Linked DNA regions of Oryza sativa Japonica Group. The protein of the gene in region 2 binds, or shares a complex with, the protein of the main gene of each other region. Links are inferred from orthologs where the notes say so. Each region holds a gene or a part of one and is shown on either strand. Other genes may lie near its edges.

Region 1 (4,112 bases), on a different chromosome or scaffold from region 2:
GTTATTCATCTTTTAACAAATTCAAGGAAACACTTCTATATGATTTAAAACATAAAGCTATGAACTGACAATAAAAACAATGGATAGTGTATAATTAAAACTTAAAAAGGTTAAAAGGCAGACAGAGTGGGTTGGCAAGAGAAGACACAATTTCACATTATCCCTACAGCACCCAACTACAAAAAACAACCAAAACCATACCATCTACAATAGTAGCCTGAAGGGACAACACACATGGAGTCTAGAACAAATAAACATAGCAAAATAACCCAGCCGCAGTTCCCATAACACATGACCTCAATGTATCTTTCAGAAGGTCATATCAGATATGAGGGAGAACCATATATAAATGCAAACATTAAAACTTCTGTGAACAAAAAATAGGGATGGGATGCAACAATCACTCAAGTAAAGGTACACACCAGTCAGATAATGTATCTATCATATTGTTCAGCTGATCAGGTGTAAGATCCCTTCCAGTTGCAAATTGTACCTGTCAAGTACAGACAGAATTTAGGGGGATCATTTGCCAGCTAAACAATGAAACCATGAACAATGTACTTGTAAGAACAAGCATCTGACCTCAAAACACCTCCGCAGCTGATCCAATTTGCCCCTGACAATACCCTAGGGAAGCAATTAAACGTTAATATTTGACTAGAATACTAGCATCTATGGTGTAAAAGTTCAAGAAACAAACCGATGATCCTAAAGGCTAGAGAGCTTACAAGAGCAATAATCCACACAAGATATATTTGTAATGACATGGTTTTTGTTAGGGAGGTTAGAAGATGGAAAATAGAGATTTAAGTGCCTAAGGCAAAAAAATTCTCACCGAGTACATGCACTCATTGATGAGGAAATCTTCGAGTTCTCTTACATTGGAAACATCCAATTCTTGCATGAGTTGATCATATGGTAGCACCTGAATAGAAATGATAATAAAAACCAAGCACATTTAGTATTGTCTAAAGCAAAAACATAGAACAGAGTTTTAAGGTAAAAGATAATACTACATGAACTTGACTTCCAGTGCACACTCAAACAGGCTATGCACATAAAGAATAAGATAGTATTCACAGATAGTGTAAAGCTAAATTGGGCACACATAATAGGATGGAAGAAGCTTGTTTCTGGCATTGGTTGTTATCTGTTCAGAGAATCACTATCACTTAACACATATAACTGCATAGAACTATTTCCCATCATACGTAAAGAAAGAAGAATGAAAAACCTAGATAATAAACATGCAGACCAGCTATTATTTGATGAAACAACTGTGAGGATACATTTGGATCTTAAATTATCTTTGCTCAGCCTGGCATAAACCTGCTCATTTCATCTATGGCCCACATAAGCAAGGCAGCGAGGCACGATATTTGGTGCCATCAACAGTTCATGCTCACATGCTTGTCGATGAAGATGGGGCCATTTTTTCTCTCCTTTGACAGCAAGTTTTTTCTGACAATTGTTAAGCTAGATTGACAGAGAAAGTTAGATTTGTTTTCTTTTACTACCAAATGATAACTCCCCTTGCTATGCAAGGCTAAAATCCCCATTGCCAAGGATCTAAACGCTCCCTTAGTAACTTTATGTACACAGGATAAGCAAAAAAAAAAATGCATAGCATATTAGACAGTATCAGCCTAAATTTGCACCTTGGTTGACTCAGCCAAAGTTAGCACGCTGAGTTGCTTCAGCTTCCGGACTTGATCAGGTAACAATGCAGGGAGATTGCCAGAATTACCTACATGTATGAAAATTAAAAACAATTAATGAAACAGTAAATGTTCATGTTCTGCACTTATCTGATATTACTATAAACAGAGAATACCACAAACTGCAGACCGTTTTAATGACATGCCGATGAGAGAGGAAACAACAAAATTCTAGCAACCACAGCCTGACACACACTGATCATATTGGTGGGTGAAAAGGCAAATTGATTGTCACAGCTCAAATTATGATTTCAAGCACAGAAATGTGATAATTCTATCCACATATTGTTGCAGAATATAAACCATAAGACAAAGATGAATTATGATTAATTAGTATGTGAATCCCATCAAAAAATTAACCTATAACAATATAACACAAAAAAAAAGTGTGAATTAACATTAACACAAATCAGCACTATTGTTAACCATTAAACATATGGGCTATGGCCCTCACATGCCAATCGCGTCCATGGTAAGCGGCTATTTCATAGGGCGTACCCCTAACACACAACAACAAGACAATGCACTAGACTCACGCACCAAATAAGCATACACATATGACGCATGACAACACATACATAAGGGCAATGTAATGTACGAATCGCAACGGGAGGGGGTGATCTTACTCTTGTAGTCCTTCAATGTCCCATAGGCGAAGAGGCGGAGCACGTCCAGAGACGACGCATACTGCGTTCCAGTGAGCTGCATCAACGAACTGACATTAGATCGAAATCAGAGGGGGGAGGAGAGGTGGTCCACCCCCAAAACCCTAACCCTAAACACGCGCGGCGCGGCGGGGCGCAGGCGGAGCGAGAGGCGGGGGGTCCCTTATACCTTGGAGAGGGCGGGGAGGGAGAGGAGCTCGGAGAAGGCGAAGAGGGCCGGGTGGGAGGTGGCCTCGAGCACGAGCGCCGCCAGCTGCGGCGCCGACGAGGAGAGGGCGGCCGCCTGCGCGGAGAACTGCTCGATCAGCTCCGCCTGCCGCCGCTCCGCGTCCATCGCCATCGCCGCCGGCGATTTGCCCGGGGGGCTAGTACGCGCTAGGGTTTGGGGGATCGGGGTTTCGCTTTCTTTTCGGTTTCGTTCGCCTCGGTGATATTCTCTGTGTTTTGTGGGATTGTAGTGGGGAGAGTGGGTTTCGGGTTCGGTTGGGCTCCACGGTGGTGGGTGGTGCTGGTGTCCGGCTCGTTGCCGCATACTCGTGCTCGGGAGTCGGGGCCTGGAGGGCCACGGTCGCTTGGGCTGCGTGTCGACGTGGGGGATTGCTGCCATTAAGAATGCATCTTCCCCGTTTAGACACCAATTTTTTTTTAGCCTTCTTATTACTCCTCCTCCATCTGCTTTTGATAGTCATATTTTATCTTGACACACAGATCAAGGATAAATAATTCTACTTATCATCCATTTAAACATGCTACTAGTCATTTCTCGTAAACAAGCGATTCATTAATATTTACATTTCTCGATGCCCATGCAACCAATCTTGTGTGGAAGAATGGAGAGTCATGCATTAAATCTGAGAAAGTCATTAAGATGATAAGTTGTTGGATTGAAATATGCCTATCAAAAATAAATTTTTCAAATTTGAAAATATAACTATCAAAAGTAGATGGAGAGAGTATTATACTGCCAAAATAAACATTTTTCAAATTTTAGCAATACCAAAATTTTGTCAAGTTGACAATATTACTAAATTTTGATAGGATAGAGCGATAGACTAAATATGTTGTTGTCAAAATTCTCTAGGCATTAACAATGTTTGGTAACAAACTAAATACATTCACATGTTACATGTTTAGCTCATCCACATACATATTTTTGGATAGCCGATATAATTCGTTGCCTAATCTGTTCTACCTCATCAATGATCTGGGTATCGACTGCATCAGATCCAAGAATTACTTTCAGGGACTTGATTAGATCAGCTAGATGTTTGACAGAAGATTTGAGCTATGATCTCTGATCCTCAGTAGCTTTGGGCAGATCGGCAAGTTTATGTTCTTCAATAGCAATATGTGCATTGCACTGCTCCAATTCGGCTAGGAGTTCTATCTTCCGAGTATTCAGCCGATCTATGTTGGCTTGAGTGGACCTTGGACCAGCTTCCAACTCATCAAGTTTTGCCTTTTCTTCATTAATAGAAGTCCTACTAGCCTGGATGGTGGCCTCAAGATCTTTTCTTTCACGGCGATCAGCAACCCTTTGTTTAGCCTTTTCAAGCTTGAGCTGATGCTGTTCGAGGTATGCCGCTGGGGTGATAACATCGGCTAGTTCATCTGGGAGTTGGTCGTAGATTACAAGGAATCTATCTCTGATTGATCCACAACTGACCACCAGAGTTTCTAGGGAGCCTTCAAGCCACTTTGAGATATCCAGCAAGGTTGTTTTCACATT
Region 2 (4,098 bases):
ACTAAGAGCTTGCTCCAAAGCATTTTCATCGATCTCTCTGAGATCACATGCAGAGTGTTCCATCAGGAATTTTTATAAGTAGTATCAGCTGCTAATGTAACAACTGTAAAATTTAAGTGGAAATATCCAAGATGTTAATAGCAAGGGGGCAGGGGAATTGGAAAATATATAATGTATTGCTAGAAGGGTGCAGAAATAGAGTAGTCACCACAGAACAAGCAAACTACAGATAATGGAGATAAGAAACACATGAATTGAAAAGGGAAACAAATCTGCAACTATGTAGAGAAAATCTTACTCGTCACCAATTTGGCGTTGTTCAATCTGAGAGATGTCATAGTATCGAAGTGCAGCTTCCAAGAATCTTCTCTTCAGATCCAAAATTCTAGCGTAGCATACCTTAAATATATATAAAAAAAGAAGAAAATAAGTAAAAGTGTCTGTTTTAATGTAGACAAAAATATTGAACTGAGCCAGCATCAACAAACCTTGTACTGTAAGTTCAGAAGTTCTTGGTGACTGTTTGTTACCAAAAATGAAGCTTTGTTAATAAAAGCTTCAGCATTAACAGAATCATCATCCTATAAATGAAGAACTAAATTAGTAAGCTGGAAATATGTACCATTAAAGCCAACAGCAAACAAACAATGCTAACCTCTAAATAAAGTCGTGCAATCTGGACACATTTGGATAATTTGTTTGTGTCATCCAGCATCCTGATAATTTAAATTTGAATCAGATGCTTCATGTCCTGAAGAAAAAGCCATACACATGTTCAGAAAGAAAAGTAAGTCAGTTTCTACCTGATCCCTGAGTCCAAGTCAATCCCACTAAGCATCTGTGCAGCTTTTGACCATTGTTGTTCAGACTCATACAGTTCTGCAAGCTTCTCTCTAATCACTACCACCTGTCAAATCATAAACAGCCAAATAGAAGATTAAGAATATTGCAGAATTTCTCTGCATAATACCAACAAAGGTCAAACAAAAGTAACAGTTAGTTTGTTCGGAAGTTTGGTTAAGCTTGCAAGAAAAAATGCCCAAAATTGGCATAGGGTAAATTATAAAGATACTAATACAGAAGACCCATTATCACACCAACAAACATGAATGTATATATTGTTACATTGTTCGTAACAATTTTTTACATCATTATGTCAAATTGGGCCGCTCTTCATAATCTTCTAAAACTAGGAATCTTGCATAAATAACACGAGTAACCACTTCAGTAAAACAAATCCACAATTGCATTGAATTGTTCTGTGGTTGACAAAGATGAAAGCTTTCAGACAGTATAAATTGAAACTTATGCAAGAACTCTTATCAACCAAAAGGCAACCTAGAGTAATTACATTTCTGTAGCATGCACACGGGCACAAATCATGTGGAAGCAACAATTATTTGTATTGCACTACTATCCTTTCTTATAGCAATCACTATAAGCTATAAAAGAACAAAAGACAAAGAACCTAAAGAAATACTGTTTATCATATACAAAATGATTTGTTCCAACACACAGCACAGATACATCCTAATCAGATGCGCTCCAAACATAGCATTACATAGTCAATTTCTGCATCCGTAAAAACTCAACGCTTAATGAACAATCATTAATTTAACATGTACGGTGTCTTTATAAATATGTTATATGTTAAAATCACTAGGAAGATGAGAAATACAAAGCATTTACACAAGGCCCCACCATCCCAGGCAATGCGCAGAATCATGCATTGCATTCCAGACAAGTTTCTTTCCTATTCAGACCCCTAACTAACACCAGTCACTTCATAGCATTGCTTGGTCATGTAATACTTTTCTTCATGTACACTACCACCAGGGGAACAACTAGTCTCCATAAATTAATAAAATGGGCTGGCAAGCTGTGTGGCATTAGCCAAACCCATCATCACTCCATCTCATGCTCTAGCTTAACCATTGGCTGACATCATTACCAAGTACAAACATTCCTCCAAAACTAAGAGTTTGGCAGGCAATGAATTCCAAAAATGAACCATGCCATACTCGCCTCGATAAACTTGTCCAAACGAAGTAAGGTAGCGGCATCATCTCCATGCACTGTGTGGAGTCATGAGCCCTTGCAATAACATTATGCCACATGACTCAAATTGATATCACAAAAGCGACGGTTACGGCTCCACTACCATACATATAAACTATAATCATCACCGGGGAAAAAATCCATGAAAATTTGTACCAATTCTACCCACTATACAGTAAAACATATGTATTCAGAACTACTATATGGCTAGCATTGACGATTTGAAACCAAGGGTATAAACAAAGGTGCCAACCTGCTCCTCGAAGGAGACCACACGAGGCTGGATCTGCGTGAGCGCGTAGTGCGCGACCTCCTTCTGAGCCTCTGGCTCCAACCTCCCAAGCTCCTGGGCGAACGTCTGCAGCAGCTGCCGCGACACCACGAGCGGCACCTCGTCGGAAACCACTGCGGCCGCACCGAACCCAACCGTCACACCCGAACCAGAACAAAATCCATACGAATCAACAGGTAAAGGGGCAAAGATAGAGGGCTCGTTACTGTGGTCGAGGAAGCGCTTCGCCTGCGAGATGTCCGGCGGGGAAAACGAGAGGACGGAGGAGAGGATGTGGCGGTACTGCTCGATCTTCTGGCGCTGGTCGGCGATCGCCGCGGCGCTCGCGAGGGCGTTGTCCATGGCGCCGCCCGCCGCCTCCGATTCCGCGATTGCGCCGGAGGGGTCGGAGACTGTAGCCGGCGTCGGAGGAGAAGGGGGGCCTAGGGTTTTGGGGGGCGTTTGATCTGCGGGGAAGATGGGAGGAAAAGCTCGGGGAATTGGGGAGCAAGACGGCTTCCACGGGCTGGGCTGCTTTTCTTCGTGGGACGTACGGTATCTGACGGGATAATGGCCCAGGATCAACTGGGTTGGGCCTTTTTCTTCTAGAAATTCACCCTAGTTACACGGAATAAGTTCACTTTAGGTCCCTCTATTTGTCGGACTGTCTAATTTTCGTCCTTTGACCGCAAAACCGGTTATGACCCGTCCCTCAACTTACAAAAACCGAGCAAACAAGGTCCCTCGGCAGTATGGAGGGCGGTTTTGGCCGACGTAGCGTCTACGTGGCTGACGGAGCGTGGGGCTCCTCACCGGGAGACCGCGCAGGCCCCCCTTTGCCGGTTCGGCCGGGGGCCCTGGGTGAGATTCTAAGCTCCTAGTCTGTGTGTGGAAGGTTCGCGAGAATGGAAACACACAAGACACGGGCGATGTATACAGGTTCGGGCCGCTGAGAAGCGTAATACCCTACTCCTGTGTTTTTGTGGATCTATGTATGAAGAAGCTACAAAAGAGCTGGAGAACCAGAGAGCTCTTACTCTCTCCCTCTCTGATCGTTCTGGATCCGAAAAAAAAATCCCCTTCTAAGTGGGCAAGGTCCTCCTTTTATACCTCAAGGGGATACCACATGCACCATCTCTCTCTTTTTGTGGGGACTTATCCTATCTTTTCATAAACAGACGGAGACTTGTATGGTTGCCGTCCGAATGACCTTCTGATGGGACGGCCCATACCTACCTCCACTTCCGCCGGAAGCAGGCGCGACGTGGGAACATGGCTGTCTGCTGACGACATGACCAGTGTCAGACCGGTCACAAATCGGTCATTCTTGTCCACCACGCGTCAGTTTATCAATCTGCATGTTCGCCCCTCTTCATACAATGTCTTGCTTGTAATGGTTAGGATGAAGCCTGGTATATATCTGACCGGGACCAACGTGCCATCTCCAGGAGCTAACACGCCGGCTCCGGCTAGGGACGAGTGCTTGGAGGCTCTCATCCTGACGGGATGGGGCGAGGCGTGCGTCAGACCGCCTGTCGCCACCTAACCCACGATCTGATCGGTCTGTGACTGGTCACAGACCGGATAAACGAGCGCGCTGCACTGCGTTACATGCGGCGTGACGCGCTCGTCCAAACCGCAATAAATGTGGTTAGGTGAGCCCCGCTATGCTCACCTACCCCATATACGCGGCGCAAAACCCACAAGGGGTCGGGGCGCCTCGGCCCTCGGGGCCGAGACGGGAGCGGTCCGACCCCTCGGGGAGACAA
Region 3 (4,183 bases), on a different chromosome or scaffold from region 2:
CCACCTTACCATACTATCGCAAAACAATAATTATAATTTTTATAGGGTGTATGAGAAAAGCACAAATTTTGATCTAAATTTATGACAGTATTACAATTTTACCCAAACTTACATTAAACTACAGACTTAAGAGGGTGTATCACAATAGCATCAAATTTACCACAATACTACAGGTCTAATGCATAATATTGTAGATCTACAAATTTGAACACTAATTTTATCACACAATCATAGCATGTAGCTCAACCCAAATATAAACTCTTGAAACTAGTAGTTTTATAATAATATTGATGTTAAAATTGTAATTTTGTGATATACATAAATTTGTAGTTACGAATAGTTCTGTGCAATTTACTCATTTCGTAACAGTTTTTATTCAACTCATTCAAACTACCATCAAATAGTATTTAATTTGTTTCGAATCAACTCATTCAAATAAAACCGTGATGTTGTTGCTATCAATGTTGATGCTGCAACTTTTCAGTAAACACGTCGAATGGGAGTGGGCATGGTAATAAAAAACTACACCTGTGATTTATTGGCTTGCAATGAGCGCACAAAAGAGGTTACCATAGTATAGCTTGCTGAAGCATTGGCTCTACGCCGCGTTGTTGCTCTCACTTGCGAAGAAGGTTTTCAAAACGCTAGTAATTCTGAATGCAGTCATACGGAGAGTTAACTCATTATCCATGGACCAATCTTCAAATGGCATAGTGATTGCAGACATCAAGGTCATAGCAGTGGGTTTCTCCTCTATTAGTTTTAATCATGTTTATCTATGTTGAATGCCGCGACTCATTTATTAGCTCGTTTCTGTGAACATTCTAGTGATGTTATGCACCGTAACGTAACCTTGGAGTGTATTCGGGAGATACTTTGTAGTAATGATTTACCATAACCAATAAAACACCGCTCTCTCTAAATAGACAAAACCAACCAGTAGTAGTATTCAATCTACTTCCAAATTTGAATCAAATAGTAGTCAAATTTGCAGCATGTTGGGGAAGCACTAGTGGGTGGTGATGGAGTCGTGGGTGCATGGCTCCATCCACTAGGGTTTAAATCCTAATAAGATAATAGATGTTTCACCGATCTCCATCTCTTAGAGTCTGCCATGTTATCTCATAAAGAAATCAAATCTAGGTGAACTTTTAGCAGGGTTTTAGTAACATAAAAGATGTTTGGCTGATTTCCGTCTCTTAGAGTCTGCCATGTAATCTCAAAAAGAAAAAAAAACTGCAGTATATGTTGGAGAAAGAAACAACCCTATCCCTCGCGGGCCAGCCTGGGCCGGACATGTCAGATGGGCCAGAGAGATACACGATTACACGTGGGTTTTTTCTTCCCCCCGTTTATTTCCTTTCCTGAAATTTCTCCAAATCTGCCCCAAATTCCGAATTTTACTCGAACTCCAAAAACCCTTCCCCTCTTCTCCCCTCGCCTCGGCCCGCCGGCGGCCGGCCACCACCGCCACCTCCTCCTCCGATGGATCTCGCCGCCGTCCACGCCGCCCTCGCCGGCAAGTCCTACTCCTCCGTCGCCCCGCTCTGCGACGACCTCTTCCTCCAGGTACCAATCCCTCCCCTCCCCACCCCTCTCCCGCCTCCCGCGACGCGAGGAGGGTTAGCGTAGCGCTCCTGACTCGGTGTTCCTCGCGCAGGCCGCGTCCCGGGGCGCCGCCACCGACGGCTGGCCCTACGCCGTGCACCTCCTCGCCCACCTCTACCTCAACGACCTGTAACGCCCCGCGATCTGCTCCCCCACCTCTCTCCCATGGAATTTTTCTGGGCTAGGGCTTCCGGGATTAATGTTGTTTTTGTGTTTCTGGGTGGGTGCGTGTGTGAGCAGGAACAGCGCGAGGTTTCTGTGGAAGTCGACGCCGCAGGAGGCGAAGGACGCGCGGCCGGAGCTCGCCGCCGTCTGGAGGATCGGGCAGTGCCTCTGGAACCGCGATTACGCGGGCGTCTACGCGGCCGCGCAGGGGTTCGAGTGGAGCCCTGAAATCGCCGACTTCGTGGCCGCCTTCCTAGGTACTGGTTGTTGCTTTACTGTTCATGATGGAAACGTGCAACAGTTGAATTATTCTGTGTCTTTGTGCAAAGTTGTATTGCTTACTAGAATGAATTGCATACTGTGGTAGTATTGTGTTGGAGGTCACCACTTTGTGGTGTGGGTTGGGAAGTCGGGAGATTCAGATGTGCATACATATACTTCATGGAGTAATTGTGGAAACGATTTATCTGCACAATCAGGCTGAATCAGCTTCCTTAATGAATACGCAAAGTTACTATTAGTAGAGTGCCCGTTAGTAGAGTTTTGTGCTGCGTAGTGTAATGGTTAAAGTGTTTATCTTGGAAATACTTGCTTCCTAAGATAGCCTTGTTCAGTGGGTTTATACTATCTCCTTAATAAGGACTAGTGATTTGATTATTTTCAGGCTGCTCATAAGAGTTTGGTTCCCAAGAAGTTCAGTTTTGTTCCTATTTTTACTTCTAATTGACAACATGATGCAACAATTCTAGATGCACAGAGGATGTTCATTAACTCATGCTTCAATCAAAATAAACACTTTGTAGTTATCATTTATGAGTGAAACTGTTGAATGTATTAATGTAATAGCATTATAATTAAACATTTGCACTTTTTTATAAGGTGATTGTTAACATTTTACCAGCAGTCATTGTGACACAGTAGTGGAACTAGAGAAGTTAAGTTCTTTCCATGAAGTGCTTACTATGACATATACCATAATAATACGTCAATCAGGATAATAAGTTAATAACATCATGATTGTTTCCCTTTTGCTTGTTTAACCAACTAATCTTCTAGTATTATTTTTATATTAGGAAATAAGTATAAAGCCTGCTGTTTTATATTTTTTTTAGTATTTATAATTGGTTAACTTGAATATCCAATATTGTTTTCTGATTACACAGAAAGCTACAGAAAGAGGATTTTCCAGTTGTTGACTTCTGCATATTCCACAATCAGCGTTGCTGATGTGGCTCACTTCATGGGGATGAATGAGGAGGATGCTACTAACTGTACATTTTCTGAAACTATCTTGTTGCTGTACTATGTTTTTTAATGTTAAGTACAATGTTCTGACTATCTTCATGTTAATCAACAGTATAGATCATAGAAGTTCTGACATGGTTAATATGGTGTTTTTAGTCATCTTTATCTGTAGAAATCATCCAAAGTCCCAATTTTAGGATACACTGCATCCTTTTCAACTTCCATAGCATTTCTTCATAGATTATAATCTTTCGTCCAATATGTGTTTTTGCAAGTTCCTTGAATTTTGGAAGGTAAATGTTTCTCCCTATGTCTCAAAATATAACAACTTTTAACCCTCAGGATTTGTCCCAAAATATAACAACTTCTCCACCAACATTCTCTTTCCAACCAATCACAACCCTCCACCATTCACTTTTCCCACCTACCTCCACTACTCATCCAATTACAACCCTCCACCATTCACTTCTATCTACTTTCTTAATAACCGTGTCCAACTCTAAAACTCTAAAACAATGATGGTGCCCCTATGGACTTCTTTTGGGTAGCACTTCTATTGTACTGACTGGATTATAACACTGCATATTACATTACTTTCCTTTCACAATAGAAAATAGAAACCTCTCCTTCATACAATACTTGAATTCCATTTTGTGCCATCAGTGTTGTCCACATTTCTCCTGGATTGAGCATTGTACATTCTAGGTTTGAATAAAGTGTCAGATATTTTGTTGTCTTTGAGACTCGGTTGTGTCAAAATTAAACATACTTTTGTGTGCATGAATTTTAGTTTGTTTTGATCATTGTGATAATGCTGGCCCATTGATTTTGATGTTCACAATGAGGTATATCCACAATTTCACATCTAATTGGCTATCTCTGTTGGCTTGAGTACTGTTGTGGAGTATAAAATTAGTAGAAATTTTGGCACAACCCACTCAAAAAGAGTTGTCTTCATTTTACCATTTCAATATAGTGAATGCATTCTTCTTCCTTCTAATTACCAAAATTTTTCGTAGGTCATTCATGTAACATATTGAAAATTATTTTTTTTTTGTGGTCAATGCATCAAGGCTCGTGTATCCCTCTTTCTATGGCTATAACTAAAACTTGCTATATTTGAAACATATTGAAAAACATATTGAATATTTTTGGAATAAGCATC

Evidence for each region. Proteins that work in one complex are often made in the same cells at the same time.
Region 1: the proteins of COP9 signalosome complex subunit 4 (region 2) and COP9 signalosome complex subunit 7 are in contact, whole or in part, in a cryo-EM structure (PDB 9IS6), measured with the Arabidopsis thaliana proteins. The link is inferred for Oryza sativa Japonica Group from reciprocal best matches to the Arabidopsis thaliana genes COP8 and FUS5. Residues at the interface, in NP_199111.1 of Arabidopsis thaliana: Glu269, Arg270, Ile271, Arg273, Ser310, Lys313, Leu314, Tyr315, Thr316, Asn317, Ile318, Arg319, Glu322, Thr325, Leu326, Val357, His359, Gln373, Asp383; in NP_563645.1 of Arabidopsis thaliana: Met1, Lys108, Val124, Arg125, Glu128, Asp129, Ile132, Asn133, Met136, Tyr137, Lys144, Leu145, Asp146, Gln147, Leu148, Pro155.
Region 3: COP9 signalosome complex subunit 4 (region 2) and COP9 signalosome complex subunit 8 share a complex: the UniProt entries of both Arabidopsis thaliana proteins name them as parts of the CSN complex. The link is inferred for Oryza sativa Japonica Group from reciprocal best matches to the Arabidopsis thaliana genes COP8 and COP9.

What each region holds. Positions count from the first base shown.
Region 1 is NC_089041.1:18,480,435-18,484,546, forward strand, and holds the start of COP9 signalosome complex subunit 7, read right to left. Parts: upstream 2,801-4,112; 5' UTR 2,724-2,800; coding exon 2,553-2,723; intron 2,421-2,552; coding exon 2,345-2,420; intron 1,748-2,344; coding exon 1,659-1,747; intron 926-1,658; coding exon 836-925; intron 628-835; coding exon 583-627; intron 494-582; coding exon 423-493; intron 1-422. UniProt on the Arabidopsis thaliana protein: Component of the COP9 signalosome complex (CSN), a complex involved in various cellular and developmental processes such as photomorphogenesis and auxin and jasmonate responses.
Region 2 is NC_089037.1:5,168,910-5,173,007, forward strand, and holds the start of COP9 signalosome complex subunit 4, read right to left. Parts: upstream 2,801-4,098; 5' UTR 2,693-2,800; coding exon 2,312-2,692; intron 908-2,311; coding exon 804-907; intron 717-803; coding exon 656-716; intron 582-655; coding exon 489-581; intron 400-488; coding exon 299-399; intron 38-298; coding exon 1-37. UniProt on the Arabidopsis thaliana protein: Component of the COP9 signalosome complex (CSN), a complex involved in various cellular and developmental processes such as photomorphogenesis and auxin and jasmonate responses.
Region 3 is NC_089038.1:21,626,986-21,631,168, reverse strand, and holds the start of COP9 signalosome complex subunit 8, read left to right. Parts: upstream 1-1,383; 5' UTR 1,384-1,485; coding exon 1,486-1,569; intron 1,570-1,660; coding exon 1,661-1,737; intron 1,738-1,848; coding exon 1,849-2,030; intron 2,031-2,936; coding exon 2,937-3,044; intron 3,045-4,183. UniProt on the Arabidopsis thaliana protein: Component of the COP9 signalosome complex (CSN), a complex involved in various cellular and developmental processes such as photomorphogenesis and auxin and jasmonate responses.